4 linked regions of the Medicago truncatula genome follow. The protein of the gene in region 1 interacts with the protein of each later gene in a pairwise test. Links are inferred from orthologs where the notes say so. Each region holds a gene or a part of one and is shown on either strand. Other genes may lie near its edges. The genes, in order: transcription factor TCP4, transcription factor HEC3, protein WUSCHEL and SWI/SNF complex component SNF12 homolog.

What was found.
Region 2: the proteins of transcription factor TCP4 (region 1) and transcription factor HEC3 interact in binary tests that used the Arabidopsis thaliana proteins (3 or more experiments, as listed by UniProt). The link is inferred for Medicago truncatula from reciprocal best matches to the Arabidopsis thaliana genes TCP4 and HEC3.
Region 3: the proteins of transcription factor TCP4 (region 1) and protein WUSCHEL interact in binary tests that used the Arabidopsis thaliana proteins (3 or more experiments, as listed by UniProt). The link is inferred for Medicago truncatula from reciprocal best matches to the Arabidopsis thaliana genes TCP4 and WUS.
Region 4: the proteins of transcription factor TCP4 (region 1) and SWI/SNF complex component SNF12 homolog interact in binary tests that used the Arabidopsis thaliana proteins (3 or more experiments, as listed by UniProt). The link is inferred for Medicago truncatula from reciprocal best matches to the Arabidopsis thaliana genes TCP4 and CHC1.

What each region holds. Positions count from the first base shown.
Region 1 is NC_053049.1:24,584,002-24,591,907, reverse strand, and holds transcription factor TCP4, read right to left. Parts: upstream 3,012-7,906; 5' UTR 2,044-3,011; coding exon 742-2,043; 3' UTR 708-741; intron 605-707; 3' UTR 157-604; downstream 1-156. UniProt on the Arabidopsis thaliana protein: Transcription factor playing a pivotal role in the control of morphogenesis of shoot organs by negatively regulating the expression of boundary-specific genes such as CUC genes, probably through the induction of miRNA (e.g. miR164).
Region 2 is NC_053049.1:43,198,987-43,205,428, reverse strand, and holds transcription factor HEC3, read right to left. Parts: upstream 1,579-6,442; 5' UTR 1,508-1,578; coding exon 710-1,507; 3' UTR 512-709; downstream 1-511. UniProt on the Arabidopsis thaliana protein: Required for the female reproductive tract development and fertility.
Region 3 is NC_053046.1:8,573,112-8,579,698, reverse strand, and holds protein WUSCHEL, read left to right. Parts: upstream 1-4,332; 5' UTR 4,333-4,527; coding exon 4,528-4,957; intron 4,958-5,060; coding exon 5,061-5,158; intron 5,159-5,495; coding exon 5,496-5,876; 3' UTR 5,877-6,067; downstream 6,068-6,587. UniProt on the Arabidopsis thaliana protein: Transcription factor that plays a central role during early embryogenesis, oogenesis and flowering, probably by regulating expression of specific genes. Required to specify stem cell identity in meristems, such as shoot apical meristem (SAM).
Region 4 is NC_053047.1:8,638,499-8,645,450, reverse strand, and holds the start of SWI/SNF complex component SNF12 homolog, read right to left. Parts: upstream 3,032-6,952; 5' UTR 2,706-3,031; exon of another isoform or gene 2,518-2,705; 5' UTR 2,482-2,517; coding exon 878-2,481; intron 209-877; coding exon 136-208; 3' UTR 1-135. UniProt on the Arabidopsis thaliana protein: Involved in transcriptional activation and repression of select genes by chromatin remodeling (alteration of DNA-nucleosome topology).

The sequences.
Region 1 (7,906 bases):
ACAAAGACAGCATTAACCATATATACCAACAACCAAAGCCAAAATCATACACAAGTTTGAATATGCAAAATTTATATGTCGGGTTATTTGGGTTTACTACCTTTTTCGTGACAAGGAGAAAATGCTTCATTCTGCAACTGGGGTTTTACACCAAGATGGAAATAAACAACAACTTTTGAGCAAGCTAGCTCAGTTATTTAATCTGCATGTTTTTTTCCAAATTACTAGTCGAAACTAGAAATGGAACAAGTTCTAATTAAGAAAACACAACACAACTACTACAAATTGAAATCCAAGGACACAAATGAAGCAAATTAGACACAAACATAAACATAGTAGTACTCTTAGTCCTAGTTAAAGCTTGAAAAACAAAAGATAAATTGTAGTACAAAACCGGGGGACTGAAATTGATAAATCTGAATGAATAAATCAAACCAGATTTTCTTCATTCCCACACGGTATATATATATATATATAAGCCATTGAATTGAAGTTGAAACATCTGAAAAATCCAAACCCAAGTTGCTTTTGAATTCCAATTGTAGCTCTTTCAAAACCAAAAGCTCTCTCCCAAAAAAGACCGTCTGCAACGCAAACCGTGAACCTGAAAAAACAGTCAAAACACAATAAAAAGAAAAAATTGCAGTAAGAATAAAACAGAGAGAAACTCAATTGAAATTTTAAGAACTGGGTATTGAAGGTAGAACCTGAAAGTTTGGATTATTTTTATCAGTGTTCCAATCAATGGCGAGAGTCGGAGGAAGCAGAGGACGGTTTATCGGATACGCCGTCGTGTTCCTCTTCACCCTGAATTCGTGCTGGTATACGAAAGCCTGAGAATCCACCACCAGAGACAGAAGCCTGATGGATCATCGGCGAAAGATAGTGATGATGGTGATCAACGATATTCGCCGTCGCCATTGAAGGATCTATCCAAGCACGAACTGAAGGATTGTAACTGGACTGAAGGGGTCCCCTCTGAGTAAAAAACTGACCATAACCGCCAAACGCCGGTGCCGGTGTACTGAACACAAATCCAGCACCATGGCCACTGTTACCACCATCTGCAGCATTAGCATTAATATTATTAGCATTCCAAGCCATCATTCTATTCAATCTGCCGTTATCATGTTCCTCTTGATGCTGCTGCTGTTGTTGCTGCTCAGACCACAAGGTGCTTCCACTTCCACCACCGTCGTAACCAAGGGAGGAGTTTCCGGCGAAAAGCACTTGGTTATTGTTATTGTGGTGGTGGTGGTGGTTGTCATGGTGGCTCTGAAGCATAATAGGATCTTGAAAAGATTGCAATGAGAGACGGAGATCTTGCTGCTGGGTGGTTGCCGCCGTTCGAGAGAGTAAATCCGGCGGTTGTTGATAATTGTGAAAAGATGTGGTGGGCGTTTCAACTGGGAAAAAAGACTTAATAGTATCCGCAATGTCAGTGTCTAACGAGCCTTGAAGAAAACCATGTTTCCCACTGCTACTACTGTTGTAGTCTATCTCCAACTGTTGTTGTTGGGAAGGAAATTGTTGTTCGTGTGGTGGCATTCTTCGCTCTAATGCCGCTGAGCGGTGACTGGTAGAAGCGGTTACTGGATTGTTGTCCACCGGAGATTGCCGGTGAAACATTTCATTTGTTTGCTGCTGCTGCTGCTGTTGTGGTGTTGAAGAACATGTAGCTGTGGGGTTCCAAGCGGGGAGGTGAGCGAGTTCGTCGATAGCAGATTTAGCTTTTTTAATGAGCCAATCGACTGCTTTACTTGGCCGGTCGTAGCCGAGACGATCTTGCACGTCGTAGAATTGAATCGCAGTGTGGGCTGAGAGTCGTACACGGCGGTCACGGGGACCTTTCGCGGTGCAAACTTTACTGTGACGGTCTTTCCGTCCTGTTGAACGGACAATGTGACCTCCTTGTACCTCCACGATTTCTCCTCCTCCTCCGCTGCTGCTGATTCTCTTCGACGAGGTTGTTGCTGCTGTTTTTGTTGTTGTAGCTGTTGCTGTTGCTGTTCCTGTGTGCTGGTCGTGTATTGTTTCTCCCATCTTTCTTGCATATTCGATGGAAGAGAAAGATAATGATGTTGGTGGATTAGGGTGTGGTAGTGGTGGAAGAAAAGAAGACCGTTTTTTTGGTGGTTCAAGTGACTCTGGTTGTGGTTCTAAATCTAGATATTGTTGGGGTGGTTGAAAGTACTGGTGATGAAAATGAAAGGTTGGGTCTTGGTGTTGGTGTTGGTGTTGGTCATGATAGTGAGGATGATGCAGGGGTTTTTCAGATGAGGGAGATGAATTTTGTTCATCATTTTCTTCTTCTTCATTATCCCTTACATAACTTGAATTTAGAACAGAGTTATGGTGATGAGGGTCTTGTTGGTTTTGTTGATAAAGAGGATGATTATGATAATTTGTTCTGGGGGGATCCAGACTCAGACCCTTGTTCTGCTTATCTTCTTCCAGCTTTCAACAGAACAACACTACTACTAAATCAATGGTTTTGTTTCCTTTTCTCACACTCTAGTTGCAACTGCCACCACTTCAATTTTCCCATTTCCATCATCACCACCAAACCCAAGAATGCTTTAACAGTTTTGAGCCTAACCCATTCCTCTATCTGTCTCTCTCTAAGTCTGTACCACTTTTTGCCTTTTTTGCAAGTTGAATGAAGTGTGATACCAGTGTTATTGTTGCATTAATTAATGAATGAAAGTAGAAGAGAGCAGAATGAGTTGGTTAATACCCACTTGTAGAGGACGAGAAAGAGGTGTCCTGTTGTGAAAAATCCAGCAAATTTTCCATATCTCAACACACAGGAAGACAAGAGAAGGAAAGAAGAGAGAGAGATAACAGTAAATTAAGGGTATAGGGAAGAGGAATTCATTCTGGCCCTATAAGAAAGAGGCTTTTGATGATGATGGCAGTGACAAAGGGTGGCAGTGTTTGGTCAGAATGGACGTCCGTTTTATTTCATCACTGCTCTTCTGCTAGTTTTCTTGTACTCTACTTACATATTACCACCAACCTATCCAATTTTCATTCATTTACCTTTCACCAATTTACTTTCCTTCCATTTTCCCTCTTTTCTTTTCCTATTTTTTTGCTTTTAATTTCCCTCCATTCCTTGTTATATTATTTTTATTGAGAGATTAGTCATTTAGCTCCTGAATAGAATATGAGGCGCCACTTTAGTCCTTGAATGCAGATAAATTGTAAAATAATCCTTAAATATAGATTTTGTTAATCAATTTAGTCTCTGAATGCAGATTTCGTTAGCCTATTTAGTTCCTGAATGTAGATTCCGTTAATCACTTTAGTCCCTAAAATTGACCAATAGAGTCTACATTCAAGGACTATTTTACAATTTCTCAGCATTCAGAGACTAAATAGATTAATTCACCTATTTTTATTATTGGTAATTGGGAGTTTAACTTGCTTGTTACAAGTTAAAACTTTATTATTATTTCAAAAAGACAAGGGTGGATGTCTTTGTTGGAGGGATAGATCCTTTATATGCTACCACCACACCTTTTGAAAGGGACACCATCACAGCTTTTTTGGCCTTCTCTCTCTATCTTTACCCCTTTTATCATTTAAAAGAAACTACGCAGTAACATAGATCGCTGAATTTACTTCTTCCTCGAAACTACTTTACTTCTATCTGGTTTGTGAAATTACTGTATACGTCATCTTGGAGGCTTCCCTTCTCTTCCTTTTCTGAAAGGAACATTGTCTGCCTAAGTTTTTGCATGGTTGTCCTATTCTCTGCAAAGTCAAATTGTTTCTTTATGTTTGGTCAATCACTGTCTTAAGGATGTTATTTAAAAAACTAAACAAAAAATCGAGTTGAAAATACAAGTTAAATGGAATCTAAAGGGGTGAGTGGCGACGATGGATGGTCGGATATCGTTTTTACAATGGTCGTTTTTGTTAAGGAGTCTGTTTTATATGGTGACCTATATTTTGGTGGGTGTCGTCATTATGGGTGTTTTTAGGATGTTTATTTTGCATGTTCAGCCTATATATGACACATTTTATTTGTATTCTCATCGGTCTTTATTTCGTCTTGAGCAGCGATCTGGTTATTTAATAAAATTTGGTGATTTAAAAAAAAAAATACAAGTTAAATATATAAGGCAACTATACAATTTTTAATATAAAAGGAACTACTTCTACACAATTTTCTAATATAAGAGGTAGAACATCCACAATGATAATCGATTAATATGGACTTCTTAAATGGACTCTACATGTATAATTTTTTAAGAGAGAGACAGATATAAAAAATTATATATGTAGGGTCTAAATAGATCCCACCAATAACTATTTATTTAATACATTGTTATCTATTTTATAATATTAAATCGATTAAAATATAAAGTTACAAAATTTATATCAACGGTAGTTTATTAAAAAATTGAAAAATAATTAATAATAATATTGCCAAATATTAAGAATTACAATTTTTTTCAAAAGGATGATAAAATTACATAATTAAAACAATAACTAATTATTTGGTTTGGATTCATTATCCAAAATAATATAACGACACAGTGATTTTAATTATGAGTAAATAGGATAAGAATGGATGAATAATTTTTAGGGACTTTGAGAAAATGAGAGCAAAAATGAAAAGCCAACGATACACTGTGGTAGCATTATGGAAGTTAACTGAGCCATTTCAGTGAGCCATTTCCTGAAAAAAAAAGTATCTTAAAGATAATTGAGTCATTTCACTTTTCAATACAATATTAATTATTTTTTTCTCTTTATAACTCTGGTTAAAACTATTTTCATCATTTTCAATTCAATATATTCCACTTTACATTTATGATAGTGGAAAATGCACTAATATTTAACAAGTACACTTAAAATTATTTTTCTCTCTCCTTCATTTATACATTTTTCTTAATACTTGTGAAATGAGCTTTTGACTCGGTTAATCCGGGACGGAGGGAGTATATATTAGAGAAAACAAGAATGAAAATTGCAATTGAAAAGCAACAAAATCAACTCAAATAATAATTATTTTATTAAAAACTGGTGTGGGGTCCACTCAGGGGCGGTTCTAAGGCCCGGCAACCCCGGGCACTCGCCCGGGCTCCGGGCCAAATTTTTTGTAATTTCTTGTGTAAATCCCTATGAATTTCTTATATAAACCCCTATAAATTGGGCAATTTCTTTACATTTTTTATTATTTGCTTGCAATTTCTTATGTACGCCCTATAAATGTGTTGCAATTTTTTTTTTGCCCGGGCTTTACAATATTCCTGGCTCCGCCACTGGGTCCACTTAAGATGGTGGTATTAAGTGAGACTATGTGACTTAAGAGACCCTCAATTTTATTTTTCTACATTGAGTGTACCTATTAGATACCGGATCATAAATGGTAAAGACCCTACCAATGTGGTTGCTCTAAGGACTCCAATGAGTATTTAAGTAGGTCTCACTAACTTTACATCATTATACAAAAATTATTTATTTATTCGTATGAACTTAAATTGCTGCAACATTTTAATAATTTGAAAATACAAAAATTAACATTACAAATTTTACATTCCGTCGTTAAAAATAAAATAAAATAAATAATAATAATAATAATAATAATAATAATAATAATAATAATAATAATAATAATAATAATAATAATAATAATAGTAATAACAATAATAGTTTACTACTTTTTTTGTGGTGATCATGGTTACTACTTTTAATATTTTTTTATGGTGGCTGGAGCTTCAACCTCGATTCTTACATATATTATGCATTATTTTTATTAACTGAATTAATCTCACTAATACACTAATTTTCTTTTTCTTTTTTTGTTGGCTTAAATGCTCTTTTGGTCCCTTAAGTATTTAATTGGTATCACTTTGGTCCCTTAACTAAAAAAAAATTGTTTGAGTATTTTAAGTTTTTTAATAGTCTCGTTTTGGTCCCTTATGTTAGGTTTAATAAAAAACGTTAAGTGTGGACACGTGTTGTAACACTCCTATTTCTATTAAAGCAATTAAACATGCGAATAATGCATTTATTTAAGAAATAAAGGCTACGTCACATACAAATTTCAAAACCAATAAACATAAACATGTATATAAACTTCAACAGTCGCAGCGGAATATAAACCAGAGTGATCCAAATATACATGTCATGAATCAATAATCACATCAACATAAATGCATCTCAAAAATCTCAACATACGGGTAATCTCCAAACATAACAAAAGTCCAACAAAAGCTAATCTAGACTGACACAATGAAGCCTAGATCAGAGCCGACTAAACACTAAACACCGATATTGGAGAAAGCTCCCGATATCCACCAAGCACAAAAGTCACCAAGCACTACTCTTGCACAACGTCTACCCATCCATACAGACAGATAGGCGGTTAAAACCACTGGGGGTAAGTATTACATCATCATAAACAAAATAACAGTTAACATGAAAATTCAATATAAACATCATGCACTTGATCAATAATATTCACATAACAATGCTTACATCACACCCCAATATCTCACATCAATATTCATCAATCACATGTATCATGAACAAATATCAATTCACAATTATTCATACACAATCACCAATCACATACATCATGAACAATCCTCAATCATATTTCACGAACAATCACCAATCACATTTATCAATAAGACTCATGTCATGATATGCACCTATTGACACATATATGCATGTGGTACCAATCTCCTCAAGGTCGTCACCCATATCCAGACCACCAAGGGTCTCTGCAAGACCGAAGTTCACAAACTAGATCTCAAAATATCTCTACTAGGTCGGAGCACAATAAGGAATAAAACATCGTAACTAGATCTAAAAAGATCTATGCAAGGCCGGAGCCCAATAATGAATAAAACATCATATAAAATTTTAACACGACTATGATGCATGGACATGTACAAGGACTTGATAATGCGACAATAATCCATAATTTTCACCTCAATATATAGGACGACACCCAATTATATTGATTACCTCCACAACATTGCATTATTAAGAAAACATGCCCATACACAATTAATTCATAGTATTCATCATCTCACATCAACATGATTATCAATAATCAAAAAATGTCATTCAACATCAACTATCACATGTGGTTTCACCATTCAAGCATTCCTTACATACTAGGTAAGATAGCATACACCTCTCATGATAAACATCATATCCAATACAATCATTCATTCATACAACTTCACTTAGTCATATAAAAATGGTCACAACAATTCATAAGACAATTGGCTCAAGAAAACATTTCCGACCAAAAACCATATCAAGTGGTCACCGACCAACATTGACAAATCCCAAAGCAAAACGACATAGACAACTTGAAAACCTTCAAACAATCTTAATCGACAATGTATTCATGAATTTAAGTTGCCTCCGGGTCATTGGACATTAACCCAAGAACAACTTAAGTTCGTATGAGAAACCCAACTTCACATTTTCCACAATCCCACCCGAAAATCAAGTTTGACATGATTAAGATATTGTACTAACCTTACAAGCATTGCCTAAGCCCATAAGAACTGTAGACTAAGCTTGCAACCCCTTTTTGTTCATAAAAACCAAGTTTCGACAATTTCCAGAAAACCGAAAACGACACAATTACAAGCTTCAAACTATTTGGAAAATTAAAGTTTCAACAAAGTTAAATGTGTTCCAGTAGAAAAGTAGGTGAAAACAGCAAAAGAACACTTCAAAACGATCGCCTAGGGCCCCTACACGACCACCCCCAAGCACCTGGACACGGAGCAACAAGCATGTTGCCCTGTCCAGGGCGCCTGGTGCTGGCAGTGGGGCGCCCAGTGCTGGCTTACTGACTTGTGGGCGCCCATCGCCTTTGTTCAGGCGCAGCGCTCCGTAAACGCGCATTTTCGCGTGTTCGGCC
Region 2 (6,442 bases), about 19 Mb from region 1:
GAAAGACAGAAAAGAAATCTAGATAGAGAGATATTACTATATAACTATAAATTGATCAATAAATATTTATATAGTTTCTCACGTCACTGTTGAATTTATTCCCAGAAAGAGAGTCGGCCAAACAAACTTTCCGGCCAACAATCAAACTGCATACACATTATTCTATTCTTATAATTACACACACACACACACACACACACATATATATATATATATATATATATATATATATATATATATATATATATATGCCTCTATACGTAACCAAAGCCAAACGTTATGATTATTCTTCACAACCTTTAGTCAACAATCCTAACAAACCTTTTTCCCTCTCACATGATCAATTTCCCCTATCAAACTTTACTCTATACTACCTAGCTATATATATATACGTCTTCACTCTTTAATTTATTTTTCCTCTTTTTTCTCTTTCTCTAAACTCATCATCAACTTATATAGTTACATACATATACTAATATAAAAAATACTTCTCCAATTTCATACACATACATAAATAATGGTAAGGTTGTTGTCTTATACAGAAGACATAGGTCATGAGTTCGAATTCTGAATTTTTTTTCTCTCTTTGGGAAGACAATCATCAACCCTATGCAAACTTCACTTGGTGAAACCTTGTGCAATATGGACTGTCCTTTTTATACATAGATAAAAATATTTAAGTATAATATAATTTAACCTAACTAATTAATCACTCACTAATTACCTCATGATGGTTAAAGCTTGATGAGCCATCACAAGCATGAACATGTGAATGTCCTCCGGCGTCAAATTGAACTCCGGCGGGTAAGTCCACTGTGGCAGCTGTTGTGGAAGTGAGTAGTAAATTTGGTGCAAAAGGCCAAACGTCACAACCGGAAGAAGGGGACAATAACAAAGCACTAGGAGTTGTAGAATTAATGCATTGTGATGAAAGTGGCAATTGAATGTGTTGTTGTTGTTGATTTTGAGGAGTGGATTGAAGCAACTTGATTTGTCTCTTCAAAAACTTAACATAACGAATGGCTTCATCAAGCATAGAAGCTGTATCCATTTTAGTTCCACCAGGAACAAGTCTTTGAAGGATACGAATCTTCTCACTGATTCTTTCTCTTCTATGTCTAGCTGCAACACTTTGTGGATCTTCGCTGATTCGAACGTTTCTTCGTTTTGGTTTTCGAATCGTTGCTGGGTCGATGTCCACCGGTTGCATAGCTGCAATCTTGTACATCATTTCCTTCATAGCTCCTAACTCTTCTTCTTGTTCTTCTACGTCTTCGATTCGATGGATCCCTAAGATGTCACTGAGTGAACCTGATGAAGATGGTGGTGGTGGTGGTGCCATGATCATGTTGCTGTAGTTATTTTGTGGCCAAATTACAGAAGAATTCATAGGAACTTGATGATGATCTTGTTGGAGAATAATACGGTTTTGTTCATTTGTTTCCATTTTTTCAAGATTCCAAGTGCTTGTGAATGCGCTACTAGTATTATTTTGGTTATTTTCCATGACCAAAAACAATTATATATATGAAAAATATGAAGTGTTAGGTTCTAATTTTGATGGATCTAGCTAGTTAGATGATCTTGTGTATCTTTATTGATTTAATACTTTAATTAGCTAAAATTCTACCAAAAAAAAAACTTTAATTAGCTAAAAGATAAGAGGGAATAAACAATAAAAAGGGGTTAATTTGAGATATTTGATCAACTTTTTTTTGAACAACAGAAGAAATGAATATTCAATAAAACGAATATAAATGATACTCAAACTCAAAAGACGATAAGAGAATGAGAGAAGAAGAGAATAAATTTTTGGATATGATCATATGAAATGAAACAACGCTACTTATAAATAATAGTTAACGCACACATGTGTGAAGAAGAGGAGATAATTAATGTGAAGGAGTAGAAATTAAGGAGATTGAGGTTAAAAATATATTACCTAGCTTGAAAGTTTTTTTTATTGTTGTATTGTATATGAAACGTTGAAGAAGGTTTTTGATGGTTGAAAAAGAGGGTAGAGGGTATAGAGGGGGCCCAAAAGGAAAGGAGAGAATTGAGAAAGAAAAGGGAAAGTAATTTATATATGTAGGAAGGGGTTTTTACTGAAAGGGGAGTCACTGCAAAAAGCATGTAGACAAATGAATGAAAAGAAAAGGTAGTGCATGGTGCAGTGCAGCAAATTAAAGTGGTTGAATTGAATTGAACGAATGTAGTTCTACAAAGTCATGAGATTGATCCATATACCTAGCTATAGCCCCTCCTATCCCAACTTCAAAAATACTAGTCTAGTTCAGTTCATAGTTATATTTTTAGACAATTTATTTTATTAAAATTTTTATTTCATTATAAATATATATGTAACGTCACACGATTAAATATGTGTTGACTAATTTATTTTAGACCTAATATTATCTAAATAAAAAACAGGCCTTTTAGTTAATCCAAAAGTAGACTTTTGTGACCTATCCAATAAATGTAGACGAAATTGAACTTTAATAAAATAATATTATTGTCTTGAAATATTTTGAAGTGTCATGTTAAGAGGTTTTTTTTAGGCTTAAATATGTATTTCATCCTTGCAATCAAGGGTCGTTTAAAAATTGGTCCCTGTATTCGTAATCCTTGCAAACTAGCCTTGCAATCATTAATCATTTAAAATTTCGTCCTTTGACCAACTTAATCACTGCCACATATAAAATTCCAATTTTGCCCTTAAGAAGAGGACAAAATATTGAAGAAAGAATTGGAAACTCAGGGGTAAAATTGGAATTTCATTTGTGATAGTGATTGCCACGTCGTCAAATTAGTGACGCGGCAGTGATTAAGTGGGGAGAGGGACGAAATTTTAAATGATTAAACAATGCAAGGGTAAATTGTCAGGATTAGCGATTACAGGGACCAATTTTTAAACGACCCCTAATTGCAAGGATGAAATACATATTTAAGCCGTTTTTTTTATAAGTGTTTACAAGAGCTTATGAAAATATTGTGATATATTTATACTTTTTTAATTGTAAAGAGGTCAAGTGACGGAAAGAGCAGCCTCAAGAAGGGCAAAGCCAAAGCAAAAAATACAATGAAACAAATCACGGAGAGAAAAAAAAAAAAACAAGAATACAACAATACAAGAGAACAAATACAAAGAAATACATGTCTACTTATAAAAATATAAAACATAAACAAATCCTATCAAGGCAAGCATAAGAAAGGTTTCACAGCTCACTCGTGAAAAAGTGCAAGAGGGCTCAAAAGAGGGAAATAAATATATGTATAAAAACATACATGGTTAGTTTTAATTAACTAACGTCTATGAATTGATAAATCAATTGTATTTTATTTTTTAAGGGAAATAAATATATGTATAAAAACATACATAGTGATAAGTTAGTCAAAAATCACGATTGTTAGATAAAATTAGACAATCCATACATATCAAACCAAATATATATTTATATGAATGATTTTCGTGTAGCAATTGGACTCATCAATGTGTACGACCATTAATCAAATATGCATCCATCTAATGAAAATAATAGAAATCGTTCTATCTTAATTAGTGTATTTATGCATATGCACTGCCTAGGTAGCTAACGGTGAAAATAGTAATTGAATTGGTTCCTCTCTCCAATTTGATGTTAGGTGCACTGAAATCCTAGGGCTGCTTCCCATTTATTGCCATTTTCATATGCCTTTTGCTCCTTGCTATAATTTAATTCGCTCCCCGTCTCCTTCACTCATTTTGGGATTGGTTGGATGGCGACTTCAAAATTTCGGTTTACAAACTCAAAAATCCAAGACCAATTTAAATGGCCAACTATTCATTAAATGAAATCCTTTATCGATAGTCGGTTAAATAGAGTTCTCTATGCATTTTCATGTAAATACAACTCAGTTGTTAACTATAAATGTGTTATATCAGTGTAGTTTTAAGTAGGTTAATTGATAACGGTAAGGACGTTGATATAGAGATGACAAGGTTGAAACTTTAAATTCCTCATTCCTTCACACTTAATATGTATCAGCTTAGATATTAAGTCACTTGATAAAAAAAAAAAATCCTATTTAAAGTAAAAAGGAATACTATATTTTTAATTAAAATATGCACGAAAAATTGCAAGAAAAAATATGTACGAAAATTACGATAATTTAGATATTTTTTTAAGTCAAATGAGATCGTATTTTTTATTAAGAAAATTATTTTGCTTCCCCTCATAGAAAATGATGGTTAGTTTGTACCTAAAAAAGGAGGTTTTTTCTACATTATCCTATCTTGTTTAGAGTGTATTTACCCTTTCAAGATATCAACCAATCAAAATGTAATATACAAAATGTAACATTAAATGTCAAATAAATGAGTCAATTTATTTTAAGCAAAATTACACTAAATGTCCTTTATTTTATTTATTTGTAACACATTAGTCCTTTATCTTTTCTTTGTCCCATTTAGATCCTTTATCAATTAAAATGTGCACAAGTTAATCCTTTTCTTCATTTTTCTATTAAAAAAACATGAAAATATTAATTTTATTAATAACTTTATTTTATAAAATATTTTTTAATAATTAAATTCAAAAACCCTATAAACATTTCATCCTCATATTCATCATCTTCATCTTCTTCCTTAAATCAAAAAAATTGTTCATCCAAATAAACCTTCAAATTCCTTAAATATTTTCACTTCCATCTTCTTCTAAACACAAAATTCAAAATCCCCAAATTTCATAAACCCTAATTTTACCAAACCGATAAATTTGGATTTTGGATTTAAAGAAAAAATCTCACAATTTGGATAGTAAACCTCTCATGTTTGAGTGCTCAAGCATAGTTTTAGTAAAGATCATCACAACTTAGATCTTGTAATTTTCTCATCGAATACAATTATTATTTTCCCTGTAGCTTTCCTATCTATGATGGTAGTGAAGGCGAGGTTGGCCTGCAACAATAAGAAATTGTTTATACCATTGTATAACACTAGTAAAAAATCCAAAAAGGTTAAGAATCTAAAAAGCTAAACAGCTAGCTCATATGCACAATCCTCGTCAAGCTCACATCAAACACCATTATAATCAAATTTCATAGAAATCAAGAACCCGATCGATACTTTGAATTCTTGGTTTCTTTCTTTAAATCTAAAATTCAGATTTATGGGTTTGGCAAACTTAGGGTTTATAAATTTGAGTATTTTTTCTTCAAAAAAAAAATTGAGTATTTTGAATTTTGTGTTTAGAAGAAGATGGAAGTGGAAATATTTAAGAAATTTGAAGGTTTATTGGATGGACAATTTTTTTGATATAAGGAAGAAGATGAAGATGATGAATATGAGGATGAAATATTCATAGGGTTTATGAATTTATTTATTATTATTTTTTTTTTTTAAAACAAAGTTATTAATAAAATTAATATTTTCATGTTTTTTTAATAGAAAAATTAAGAAAAGGATTAACTTGTGCACGTTTTAATAGATAAAGGACCTAAATGGAACAAAAAAAAAAGATAAAGGACTAATGTGTTACAAATAAATAAGATAAATGACCTTTAGTGTTATATGATGGGTTGAATTTGATGTGAAATTTTAATTGTTGCAAGACCTATAGTGTAAATTAATTAAGATTGAATACCTAAATATATAATTAAATTAAATGTTACCTTAGGATTAAAATTGATTTTTTTTTTATAGAAAAAATTGACTCATTTATTTGACATTTAATATTATATTTGTATATTACATTTTGATTGGTTGATATGAAAGGATAAAAATACCCCTAAACAAGAGAGGGTAATCTAGACCTAAAAAAAAGGGTGGTTAGTAGTAGTACTACCCAACAAAAGAATTGATTTGGTGCTAGCCTTTTTGAATTCCTATAGTTGCTAGAATAAATTACATGTAATTTACCAATTAATGACATATCTCTTTTTTTTTTAAGGGAGAACTAAAGAGATATCTCTTGTTATTCAGTCCAGTTCAAAAAACTATATGCAATAAATGTATCATCATTGAACATAGAACACAGTCCCCCTTTAATTTGATGCAACCCCTTTCTCCGTGGCTCAACAATTACGGTAATTTATTGATGTATAAGAAGACAATTCCGTCAGCAAGTCCTAGCTCAACTGGTAAAACGTCAAAATTGTTAGGCCGAACGTCATGATCAGGATTCGAACCTCAATACCTCCACTTGTGTATGAGTTTATAATGGCTTTGTCATTTCGTCTATCTACTATAAAAAAAACAAGAAGACAATTCCAAAGTCACAATTAATTTTGACATCACCCGCATGTGTCATACTAGTATTCTTGTATTAATTAATGTCATTGAATAATTTATTTCAATAGTATGAAATTACTACTACTTCAACACACAAGACGATTTGGAAATATCAAATACATTGGTGATCATTATATTAATCGTAAAATTAGCTCATCAGCAAATAATTAAGTT
Region 3 (6,587 bases), on another chromosome or scaffold:
AAATTGTATATTTTAAATTTAATCATTAAAGTTGATCTTTTAAAAAGTTACTGATTTTGAAATGAAATTGTAATAAAGGGTGTTTTTGTCAAAGATGGGATAACTGTAAAAATCCCAGCAACTATTTATTTAGCTTATGTTCTCCTACATTTAATATTTTCTGTCATTAACCAACTAAACGAGCTTGTAAATTCTTAAAAAAGCAATCCTTTAATTTTTGTTCATTGAATCTAAGGTTGGGCATGCTTGATAAAACGTTCAGTAATTTTAAAATTCGTCGCATGCCTTTTGTATTATACTGAGTGTAACGTTCATTTTATTTAAAAAAACGGTTTCCACATAAATAGGTTTTTTTAAATATTATTTGATTTTTTTTAGTTTGATTTTATTTAGAATTTTGATATTATGTGGTATTTTACTCTCATATTTAAAATTGAAACAATAAATCACCGTTTATTGAAACTAAAAAGGTTAAATTTTATAACGATATACCTATTTTTATGAGAATGATAAAATAGTGGACAATAGTACAACTATACTTAAAATATAAAAACACTATGAATAATTAATAATATAATCTTAAAAATATATCTAATTAATTGATTGTCAAAAAAAAAAAATCTAATTAATAAGAGTTCAAATTAACTTTAGTTTATCGGTCATTCAATATATTAAACAGGTATGATTACCTCTGTTTTAATCTACCACTATGAATAAAGTTATTACTTTTTTTTTATTTAATCACAATACTATTTCGGATTTCAATTATAAAAAAAAAAATAAAAAAAATCTAACTTCAAAAATTTACTTAAAGTATCATCTATTGGAACTTGTCTCACAGAGGTGCTCGGAGCAAACTGAACATGTTCAAACGAACAGTAACGGTCTATGAAAATCTTTCAAAGACTAACTTATGGTATATGAAAAATTTCTAAATACTAACTTCCGTTCTATGAGAATCTTTCAAATACTAACTTTTGTTTTATGATAAACTTTCAAAGACTAACTTTCGTTCTATGAGAATCTTTCAAAGACTAACTTTTGTTCTATAAGAAACTTCTATAGACTAACTTTTGTTCTATGAGAAACTTCTAAAAACTAACTTCTGTTGTATGAGAATCTTTCAAAAACTAACTTATGTTCTATGAGAAACTTCTATAGACTAATTTCCGTTCTATGAGAATATTTTAAAGACTAACTCTTGTTTAATGAGAAACTTCTAAAGACGGACTTTTGTTCTATGAGAAACTTCTAAAGACTAACTTTCGTTCTATTAGAAACTTCGAAAGACTAACTTTTGTTCTATGAGAAACTTCCAAAGACTAACTTTATCTTGTGAAATTCTTCTAAAGACTAACTTCCGTTATCCGAGAATCTTCCAAAGACAAACTATCATTATATATATGAGAATTTTCCAAGGATTGAAATGTTTGTATAATTTTTTTTAATTAAAATTTAGTTGTAAACGTTTATAATTTTTTGGGTTAAATATGTTTTTGGTCCCCATAAATATGTCAACTTTTCATTTTAGTCCCAATACAAAATTTGTTCAACTTTTAGTCTCTCAAAAATTTTTCATATTCACTTTTGGTCCCTCCTTTAAAGTGAACTCATACGTAGATTCATATTTTTGAATAAAATTTTGCAGAAAAATTCATAATATAATAAGAATCTCTCCTAAAAAAAGTTAGATTTTTTTAACAAAACATGAATTTAGTATGAATTTTTAAATGTTTTAAGGTTAAAAATTCATATTTAATTTCTGTTTTGTTAAAAAATTCTAGTTTTTTTTGGGATTTTTTTTAGAATATTTAACACATTTTTGCACAATTTTATTAAAAAATACAAAAATTAAATTAAAAATAGGTACCGAAAGTAGTGATTGAAAATTTTAGAGGGATTAAAACGAAAAATTGATATATTTATAAGGACCAAAAATATATTTAACCTTAATTTTTTTATTAGAAATTATGTGTTCAATTAATGTACTATTTTCCATATGTTATTCTATCGTAATAATTTATTAAGATTGATGGTGTTAAATGATTAATAATCAAATAAATATAATAAAAACACTACCAAAAAAGAAATATAATAAAATAAAAAGGGAGGGATTAACTTTTAAAAATAAACAATGTTAATTAAGGCGTGTATTAAACCGGGAGGAATGGATATTCTCTTGTTTCAGGGTAAAGGACAATAAAAGAGAGGAAAGGTAGTGAATTTGAAGTACCTTAAATGCCCTTTGCCTTCAATTTGAGAATATAATTCTTAAAATTAAAATTACACACAAAATCAGGTAACTAACAGTAGATTTACCTACAGTTGCACGTTATAGCACCAATGTTAAATTCTTTTTTTAGTAAAAATGCATCTCGCACGTTAAACGACGCCTTACTTTTGGTACTTGAAAAACACTTCTAAGATATATAAAAGTGAAACCAAACATATTTCTAACATTAATCAATCAAGTTAATAATTGTTTGCATCAATAAAAGTGACTTGATAATAGGTGACTCAGAAAATTTTAGATAGAGTGCAATATCATTTTAAATTTTGAGCCGAGTCTAATTCAATAATTTTAACATCAATTTGTAAGTTGATGATTTTCCTCATTTATAAACACATATGTTTAATCCATATTTAATCAACGTAAGATACTGTAACCATATGTGCAAGCAATAAAAGATTACAATTTTTGTAAACTAGCCATTGAGCTAGTTTGTACTGTCTCGCTTTCTCAACGTGTTAAACGAGACGAGAAAACTTGAAAGTTTTATGTTGAAAATCTCTACTGATCTTACCTAAAACGACGGGTTAAACGAGACGGACCGGCAAGGTCGGCTCGTTTTAACACCCCTAATCAAAACAAAATCCAAATTAGTAGTTGTTGTCCCTTAATTTTATGAATCTTTTTATAAATTAATTTTATCAATCCTTATTTACACGGAAATTAAACAACATAAAAAGTTGAGGAATAGATCATCTCATTAAAATTTTATACTGATTTGGTGGGGTATTTTTACAAGTATATTTAGTGGTTTTTCATCACAAATTTTATTAGAATCTCATCTCATCTATCTAATATATTTATAGAGCGATGGATACAAAACTTTCACATGATACCATTTGATGAAATCATGCATTTCCGTATGAATATACTATTTGTTTTATATTGGGATAGGAGATATTGTGGCCGTGTGCATAGAGACAAAAAGAAGACAAAGCAAAGTGTTAGTTTATTTGTCATCTCCTCCAATAATTTGTAACTAAATCACTTCAAAAAGCTAACTATATAAAGTTTAAGAATAATTCCCTTTACATTTCAACCCTATCATATACATATCTCTCTATTTTATTATCTTCACATAAAGTGCAATCACTTTAGTAGAAAAATGTGACATGTTAAAGAGAATCCTAACCTTATTGTGTGATCTTGACTGAGAGAAAGAAAGATTAATTAATTACAAGAAAATGAATATTAATTGAAAGGAACGTATAACTAAAAAAAGGCTTTATTTACATACTATATTTTCTGTTTTTGGTCATTTCCCAGTACTGATCATAATCAAGTCTTGTGCAGATATAATTATTAATTAGACATTTTGAGAGTACCTATTCTCTTATAGAGACTCAAGAAACTGTATAATTCAAAATCTTTGTCACACATATATAGAAATTGTACCATACAAAACCATAATATATAGTCTTCTTTGCTCATCAGTATCATCAATTCTACCACTGCATCAAAAGTACAGTTAGAAAAGTTATACTTCCTGATATAACTTTAGAATATGTGTACCAATATGCAGAACAAAATAAATTTAAAACCCTAATGAAAACAAGGTTCATATATATTGGGACCCATACCATACATATGAGATTCATACTAATGAAAAATACATTTTTACCCTCCACTTTTTTTGCTCTAGTACAACAATATCTTAGTAGCTATTGAAAAATGATATATTCATGTAGGGGCCATGTCTGATTTCCACATCAAAAGAAGAACCTATTGAGAACTCCCAAATCACACTAGCATCATTCTATTTCATTCATTCATTCAGTAACATCTACTTTTTTTCATATCATTTCATACATAGATACATTACAGTACATTTACATACATACCCTTTATTTTCTAATTTAAAATTTAATCAATGTATGCAAATACATTATTTTTTACAATATACCTGGCATACAATGCCTTTTGATCCAAGTAAATTCCTGGTCACTTTCTAAGCTCTCTTTTGTCCCTTCCCTTTTTATGAACATCTCTCTGTCAACTTCAGTCCTTCTCTCCCAGATATCATTTCTGATTTTCTCTCTTTATCACTCCATGTACCATGTGCATGCCCTATATCATCATATTCATATTATTTATATTTATATATATAACCTACCAATACAATACATTACATGCAGTAGTACTCTCTTTCACACTCACCTACCCTCTCTATTCTATCTTTTATTTTATTTTTTGTTTTCTTCTCTTTGTTTTGTTCTTGTTTTCAGTCCAACAAAAACATGGAACAGCCTCAACAACAACAACAACCACAGACACAACAACATTCACCAAACAATGGGATTATGGGAAGCAGACAAAGTAGTACAAGGTGGACACCAACAACAGATCAGATAAGAATATTGAAGGATCTTTACTACAACAATGGAATTAGATCACCAAGTGCAGAACAGATTCAGAGAATCTCTGCTAGGTTAAGACAGTATGGTAAGATTGAAGGCAAAAATGTCTTTTATTGGTTTCAAAATCACAAAGCTAGAGAAAGACAGAAGAAAAGGTTCACTTCTGATGTTAATGTTGTTCCCATCATTCAAAGAGCACCAAACAACAATACTATTATTTCTGCTGCTAATTGGAAACCTGATCATCATGAACAACAACAAAACATTAATGTTCATACCAACCATTCTACTTACAACATTTCATCTGCTGGTATATTCTTTTTCCTTTTTGAGACAAGAAAAAAAAAAGTAACTAATTGATTAAATATTATATACTATATCCTATATTAATTTTTGTGTGTGTGTTTATTTAGGGCTTTCTTCTGCTTCATGTTCTTCTGCTGAGATGGTTACTGTAGGCCAGATTGGTAACTATGGATATGGATCTGTCCCCATGGAAAAGAGTTTTAGGGTAAGTTATTGACATGAAAAACTTTATACTATTATTTCAAGTTTTCTTTCCCTTTGCAATGCATTCAAATCCATGATCTTTTATTTAATAACCAAAAGGACAATCCAGAAAATTTCCATAATAAGAAGAACAACCTCATAAACCTAAGCATTAAAAATAAAACTTTAATTTATGAAGTGAAAGTAACACTTGTATATTGAATCATAACTAGTTAATGCTTCTGTAGATTATTAAAACTCTATATTTTAGGTATAGCTTTAGACATGTCACATATATTTATTTTCTTCTGCAAAATGTTGAAATATCAAGTTTTGATTTTTTTTCTTCTTTTTCTTAGGAGTGTACAATTTCAGCTGGATGTAGCAGCAGTCAAGTTGGAAGTACCATAAACCCTCACATAGGATGGATTGGTCATCATGTCGATCCATATTCTTCAGCTTATGCCAACTTATTTGAAAAAATAAGACCAAATGAAGAAATCATGGAAGAATATGATCAAGGACAAGAAAATGGTTCACCTGAAATTGAAACCCTCCCTTTATTCCCTATGCATGGTGAAGACATTCATGGTGGCTATTGTAACCTCAAATCAAATTCATCTAACTATGGTGGTTGGTATCAAGCTGAAGATGCTGGATTCATGTATGGTTCTCGTACTACTTCCTTGGAACTTAGCCTCAACTCTTACGGCTGTAGGTCACCAGATTATGCTAATTAAATTTGCTAAGTTTAAAGATTTGAAGATGAAGCTTAATTTATCTTATATATAATAATAGTATGCTACATATATATAATGAATTTAGGGTATGTGTTAAGGTTATATATATTTAATGAATGTGAAAATTAATGTAGTTAGTTTGTTTCTGTTTTTAGTCAAGAGTTGTTCCTAACTTGACAAGTGTCATGTAGGCAACTTAATTGGACTGACAATGACTGATTATTAGTAATAATTATTGTTATGTTATTTTTGTTGTCCATTTCCCTACAAACATTCTTTGCATTAATTTGCTAATTCAAATGATTGGCTTTACAAAAAGATACTAATATACTAAAAGTGATGATGGAATGTTAGTAAAAGTTAATCACACACAACACATAATTAGCCAACAACTTTACTCAAGTGGTAGCATCATATTTGGTTTGCAACCAGTGCAAAATCATGTGCTGCATCAAACTCCATCGTTTTCTATGAATTAGTGACGTAGTTAGGACATGTTTTTTTTTTGGATGAGTTTTTGGGTTAGTAATTGATTATATTATGTTATTTTTGTAACAAAGGAGAAATTCATTTGTATCCAAATTCTTCACTTTAAAAAATAAAATTAGTACTGTCTGATGTGTACAACTTATATAATAACTAGTTATATGCTTAATGTTTTGTTTAGGAGGTTGTTGATAAGTGGATCTTGATATCGTGTTGACAGTTGAT
Region 4 (6,952 bases), on another chromosome or scaffold:
TGGAGCAGTATTCACAAATACGGCATGGAAGATGGAAAACTAGCTTACTTAAGAATTCCCTTGATTTATATTGAAATGAATAGCATAAAAGGATGAATGATTTCAAAATAAGGAGCACTGGGACTTCTCTAGGTATCATGTGCTTCCTGGAGCATCACTTCCTGCAGCTGGTTTGCGATTCAAATATCGAATAACAGCATCTTCAACCCTGCTCATGTTGTCAAACAATATATGAATTCTTTTAGTGAATGATAATTGATATAGTTAATGCTCAATCGTAAAATGCATCCATTAAACATAGAAAATACAAATACATTGATTCAAGGCTTATTTTAACTGGATTGTGCACAGAAGAAAGAAAAAAAATGCATTTTAAAACATTTGAAATGAAATCCTATCATATATATCAGTGTTGTCAACTGCAGATCTTAGAAAATGGTGGTTTGTTCAAATTCCGCTACACTACACTACACTTTGTGCCTAATAGCATATAGCAGAATAATCATGATTTGTTCAAATTATGTTATGCTATGACAGCATAGTGCGCTATTTGACAACACTGGGCCATATGAGATGAAAATAGGCGCATAAATCCAACAGTCCAACTAACATATATGCTAAGTTTATATATAAATCATCATCATTCATCAACTAAGACAATATATGGAAGGGGACTATTAATCACAGAAGTATAGTGACAATTCTAAATTATATCTGATTTTGAGTCAATCACAATCAATTCTGGCAGACGATGATGAATTAATTTGCAATCAAAGATGGTAGCAAATAAACAGAGACAAGCAAAAAAAACAAAATATAAAATAAAATAAAACAATGGAGGATAGAAAAATGAGCAGAGATAGTTCTCAAAGATTACCATGGTTGGTTGAAAAAATCTGCTCGGCGCTCTTTTTCAGCACTGCGACTAGGTTCTCCAGCTGCAGCTTTCAGATCCCTGCTTTGAGACTCAATCAAGGCATTAATAAATTCTACTGGAGATTGACTGAAACCAAGAAAGAATGCCCGTCTCCTACGATGCTCGTGGATTTTTCTAATGATTCCACATATCGATTCATCACATGTTTCAATCTCTTTGTTCTTCTCAACATTTGCCAATAGTGCAGACAACTCCCTTTGAATAGGAAAAGGAATATCAATCATCGCATCGTAACAAGCACTCCCAGCTGGACTATTTCCCGATAGTTTGATCTGATGCTCCACAACTATAGGTGGTGGAGGGAACAAATGTGGTGATATTTTCTGCGAAACCGTTGTGAACTTCACCTTTTCTTCCCCAAATACTTTCTGAAGAGGCTGATCACAGTGAAAAAAAGAAGGGTCGCTAGGGTTCTGCAGTTTCCTAGCCTTCACATAGTGCCATATTGCAGCAATAATTCTTGGACGAGTATCAACGTCGATAGCAAGAACTTCCGTCAATGCTGGTGAAAGCTTAAACTTCTCAGGTGCATAATTCATATAAAACTGTATATTCACCGAAAACTCTTTATCCCCTTTCCTCTTCACTTCAAAACCTTCTTGAGGAGCAGGTGATCGATAACTATCCCACATAATAGTGTTGTTCTCAGGATATAGCCTCGGATCCAAAGTAATGATTACTTTTTTAAAGAAAGCCGAGAACTTTGGATACATCGGTGACGACTTCTGAACTACTCCCGGCTGATCAGGGTCAACACCATCTTCCAATACCCTCCCAACTATCTTCAGTGTCCACGTCGGAGGCTCGGCATTTGGCTTCTTAGGTATCGTGCGAATTTGGTTCGCAAAAGTGTTAAATACATAAATACGAAGAGTTTTCTGAATACAAGGCGGATTTTTCAGCGCTTCCTGAATATCAACCTTCTTTCTAGAAAGTGCAGCATCCACACGAGACTCAAACTCGAGAAGCTGTGTATAAAGAGCAGATTCCGGCAATATAGCAGCCACCCTTTCCTGCATCGGTTTCTCAGGAAGCTTCTGCTTCTTTCTCCGTGCAGCAGCAGGCGTGAGTTCCATTGGTCTCAACGGTGAGAAATTATTCTGAGGCGGAAATCCAACCGGCCTCATAGGTGGTTTCAAAGGACCACGTTTCGCACTGCCACTCCCAGGCGTAGACATCGACGACGACGAAACACCTAAATTCCCTAAACCACCAACCTGATTCTGATTAAGACTCAACCCTTGAGCTTGCAAATGAGCCTGGAGCTGAGCATGAGCTACTGCTGCAGCTTGTGCATGAGCCTGAGCTTGAGCCTGAGCCTTATTTTGTGCTTGAACTATAGCATGGGCTTGTGACTGTGGAAACTGGCCTTGAAAACCAGCAGCCATTTGGGCTTGAGCTTGAGCTTGAGCCTGGGCTTGGGCTTGGGCTTGTGAAAAAACAGGGTTTGTAGACATAGAATTAGAGGGCATTCCAGCATTACCAAAGGATGATGAAGAAGCACCAATGCCTTTAGAAGGGTTGTTATTATTGTTCACAGACATCACTATCCAAATCTAATCAACAAAAGGGTCGAAACCCTAAAAATTCAAATCTTCAAGACCCAGATGAAAAAAATCTAAACTTTATGCAATATTATCAATCATAGACCAAAAGGGTACCTATATCACAACAAATTCAAGTGTGAAAACTACTTCGTAAAAATTCTGTTACCAAAATGGAAAGAACCAAAATCACTGATTTTGATTCTGAATTAAGTAATGTTTACCTCGATCTGGATTCAGGAAGATCCACTGATTGAAGAAGAAGCCATGAAGAAGTGAAAAATGTGATTTTTTTTGTGAATTAGGGTTTGGTGATGAAGAGAGAGAAACAAGGGGATAAGATGAATTAGGGTTTGATGAGTGAAAATTGCGAAGAGAGAGAGGTGAATTGAGGAAATTGACGAGAGAGAGTGAAGATTTAGAGAGAGAAAGAGATGAATTTTGAGGAAGATGAAGATGGTGAAGGTTTGGCTAGGGTTTGGAAAATGGGTCAAAGTTTTGAGTCAGTGTGAAGCGTTTAGTTTTGAAACGGTGTCGTTTTTAGTTCTAAAACAAGTTGTGAATGTTATAACCAAATCCAAATGTAATAAAACGTGTTTTTTCCTTTTTTTTTTTTTTTTTTTTAAGAACCAAAAATGGAATTTATATATTAACAACGGCGGTGAATCCCCATAAGCACAAGGTGTACTCAAGAGGTCACCCCAAAATTACAATATGTCTGAGTACAAAAACAATAACAGAAATCAATCGATACCCAAACAACGTAAAGGGTTCGACCACCATGTTTGTAAACCATAAACAAAACTAGCATTATTAGCTTTTAGCCATCACAAAGCTGTATATTTAACTTTATCCATCAAGTCTGTCAGTGGAGTGTGAACATTATTGAATAGCCTGTTGTTTCTTTGTTACATAATATCCACACGCAATAGCCACAAAAGCTGCATAAATGAACGTCTGGACCTCGAAGTGCCTATAGCGATAGTAAACTGAATAAAATGAGCATGTATGTTATAGGGATCAGCTCCAGAGATGCCAAGCCAATTCCTAACATGGTGCCATAAAGCACCAAAAATATCACAGTGAATGAACATATGTAATACTGATTCGTTGTTCCCACACCCCGCCACACAATAAATGTCCGCGCGCGGGTTGAATAATACCTCGCCTCAAAAGATTCTGTTTTGTTGGTAATTTGTCCCGCAACAACCTCCAAGATAGAATAGAGACCTTCAAAGGTACCAGCCTATGCCAAACAAGATCTCTCGTTTCATCACTTAAAGTAGCTACCTATGTAGTAAGAATTTGGTAAGCTCCACGCACAGTGTACCCCCCCCCCCCCCCCCCCCCCGGTAATGTCAAGGAGCCACTGCCACCTGTCAGTAACAACAGTCTGCAAAACAAAATTGTTAAGTAATAGGCGACACTCCCCTAGCAACTCCTCCTCCCACTCCCACAACCTTCTCCTCCATCTCCACGCTTCACCCCCTACCTCCCAGCCTAGAGAGAACACCTCAGCGACTGTAATCATTTTATTCAACGATAAATCAAATAAGCGACTAAACCGCCTACACAACGGAACAACGATAAATCAACAGAACACCTCACCCTTGAAATAAAAAGAAAATGTTTTAAAAACATTGGGTTAATTTTGTCAAAAAAAAAAAACATTGGATTAATTAGTGTCTCATGGATATTAATTGAAAAGTTTTGTTTCTCAAGTTGTTTAGTGATTAGAAATTTATCCCTTAAGACTAATATATGCTATATATATATATGATTTGCATTCCAATATCTATATATATATAGTATGTGTTTAGTTGTGCGGTACCAATTTCACATCAAGTCAAAATCACAGTAGGAACCATGTTTGCAATGAATTTATGGTGGGGTTTAGCATGGGAAAGTGGAGTTGTTTCCCACCATGGAAAAATATTTTTTGACGGTTAGATTTAAGAGGATCGTTGATCTTATTATGGTCTGCACACACTATATATTTCCCAACTTTGTCTTCAACCTCACTGTCGTCTCTCTCATTTAACCACCACCAAACTCCAGTCAACAACCCACCCCTTCAGCCTCACTGATCTTTCCCCACTGATTTTCAATTCGAATTTTGCTGTTTGACATAAAATTGATCTTTCAATCCCTTTCTTGTGCATAAAAATTCCTTTCCATTCTACGCTTATAATAGGTTCCAAAATGGCAATCAATTTTAAATAATTAGACATGTAAAAAGTAAAATTCACCATTAATATTGAAAAACATAGTTTTTGTAACAACAACCATGGCATTGATAACATTACGTACTTTCAAAAAACCTTTCATTCATTCTCAAATATAATAGAAAAACAACCACTTTCATCATCAACAATAGAATCCAATAAAACACCAGCAGATTTGTGCTTTCAAAAAAATTTAGATCTGAGTTTTTTTTATGTTTTTTTTTGTGGTTGAGTTATGGGTTTTTTTGTATGTGTTGATTATCCTTTTTCTATGTATTTAGTTTATTTGAATTGATTGGATTTGGGCAAGCGATTTTGGCAACTGAAACTCCCAAGCAATGGGTACCTATTAGAGTTTTTTTGAAGGTGTGATGAGGTGGGTTGTTGACTTGGGTTCAGAGGTGTGGTGGTGGTGAAAGGTGGAGATGATAGTAGTGAGGTTGATGACAAAGTGGGGAAAGATATAGTGTGTGTAGATTATAATAAGATCAATGAAAGGTGGGAAACAACTCCCCTTTCCTATACTAAATGCCACCTGAAGTTATATATAGTAGCTTTTCCAAATTACAACAATTTTTACCTTGGGGCGTGAGAAAGTTACTTCCACCGCACATCCAAATAAGCTAATACTACCTCCGGTCCTATTTATAAGAGAAATTTAGGTCAACAAAAGTGAATGTATTTGGACTGAATTTTTAACTAGATACATCAACTTTTGTTGACCCAAAATTCTCTTATAAATAGGACCGGAGGGAGTAGTATAATACAATGTCTCTTTTAACCAAGTAAACTCACATAAATTGGATACAGAGTTACAAAATAGTAGTAGTTTTATATTTCAAACAACAATTTTAAAACTATATAAAATTGAATTTACAACTTTCCAATAAATTAGTTTTATATTTGTTTCATTAATCAATTCATTCGGGCCATTCTTTAACATTTTTTTAAAACATTTTATCATTCTTAGACATTTGTTATTCATTTTCTATTGGGTTAAATAAGTTTTTATTCTTTATAAAATTTTCAAATTTCGCCTTTACTCTCTCGAAAATATTTTTTCAATTTTTTATCCTTCAAATACTTTATGTCATCACTTTTGGTATCTGTTTTTAAGTCAATTTATGTGTATTATTCAAAATTTAATAAAGACATATGTCGTCAAGTTTAGTACATTATAGAATTATCTCTTGATAAAAGTATTGAATTTTTAAATTAGAGATTAATTAAATGTGATTTTTTATAGGCTTAATTGTAGTTTTAGTATCACAATCTTGGAATTTTGGCCCCCTATAAAAAAATCAATAACAAATCAGCCCAAATTTACCCATTTTTATACTTTTGACTCTCTAAATCAATTTTGACCAAGTCAATGCATACGTGGCACCCACACCACTTAAAGTGAGGTGCCACGTGTGACTTTCTATTTTCTTAAGGGGCCAAAATCGCAAGATTGTGATACTTAGGGAGCCAAAACTAAGTTTAATAAATAAAGTGATTTGGGTGCCACTTATGCATTGACCCAGTCAAAATTGGTCCGGGGGACCAAAAGTGCAAAAGGGAGTAAACTTAGCAGACTGATTTGTTATTGTTTTTTATAAGGGATCAAAATTGCAAGATTGTGATACTTAGGGGCCAAAAATGCAATTAAGCTTTTTTATTTTTTTTGTGCTTAAATAATCATATTTAATCATGTTTAGTTATAATTTTTTTTTAGAGATTCTTATAATATTCTAAACATACTTGAAAAACTCATTCAAAAATATGAAGGGTACACATGATCTTACCTAAAAGCAAGGATCAAAAGTTGTGACAGAAAATATTTGGAGGACCAAAAATTGAAGAAATCTTTTAGTGGGACAAATGAGAAATTTGAAAATTTTATAAGAAACGAAAACTTATTTAACTCTTTATTTATTTGTTCTTTATTTATTTTATAGGACTCATCAATATCAGAATATACCTCAAGGTTCAATAAACATTTACATAGGTGCTTACTAAATCACTAGGATTCATACCTTGACAACAAAAGTTGATACACAATCTTACAATTGAAACAACTCCTTATCAAGTCAATCGTCACAAGCTATTTGTTCTTTATTTTGAGTTTAGGGTAATCTTCAATTTTAATTTTTGCAATATTAGAGACTTTTTAATTTAATTAAAAGTTTTTTTTTTTTACTCAACTTTAATTTAAAGTTCAAAAAATTTATTTTTGATCAAAAAGGATCAATTGACCATTGAAT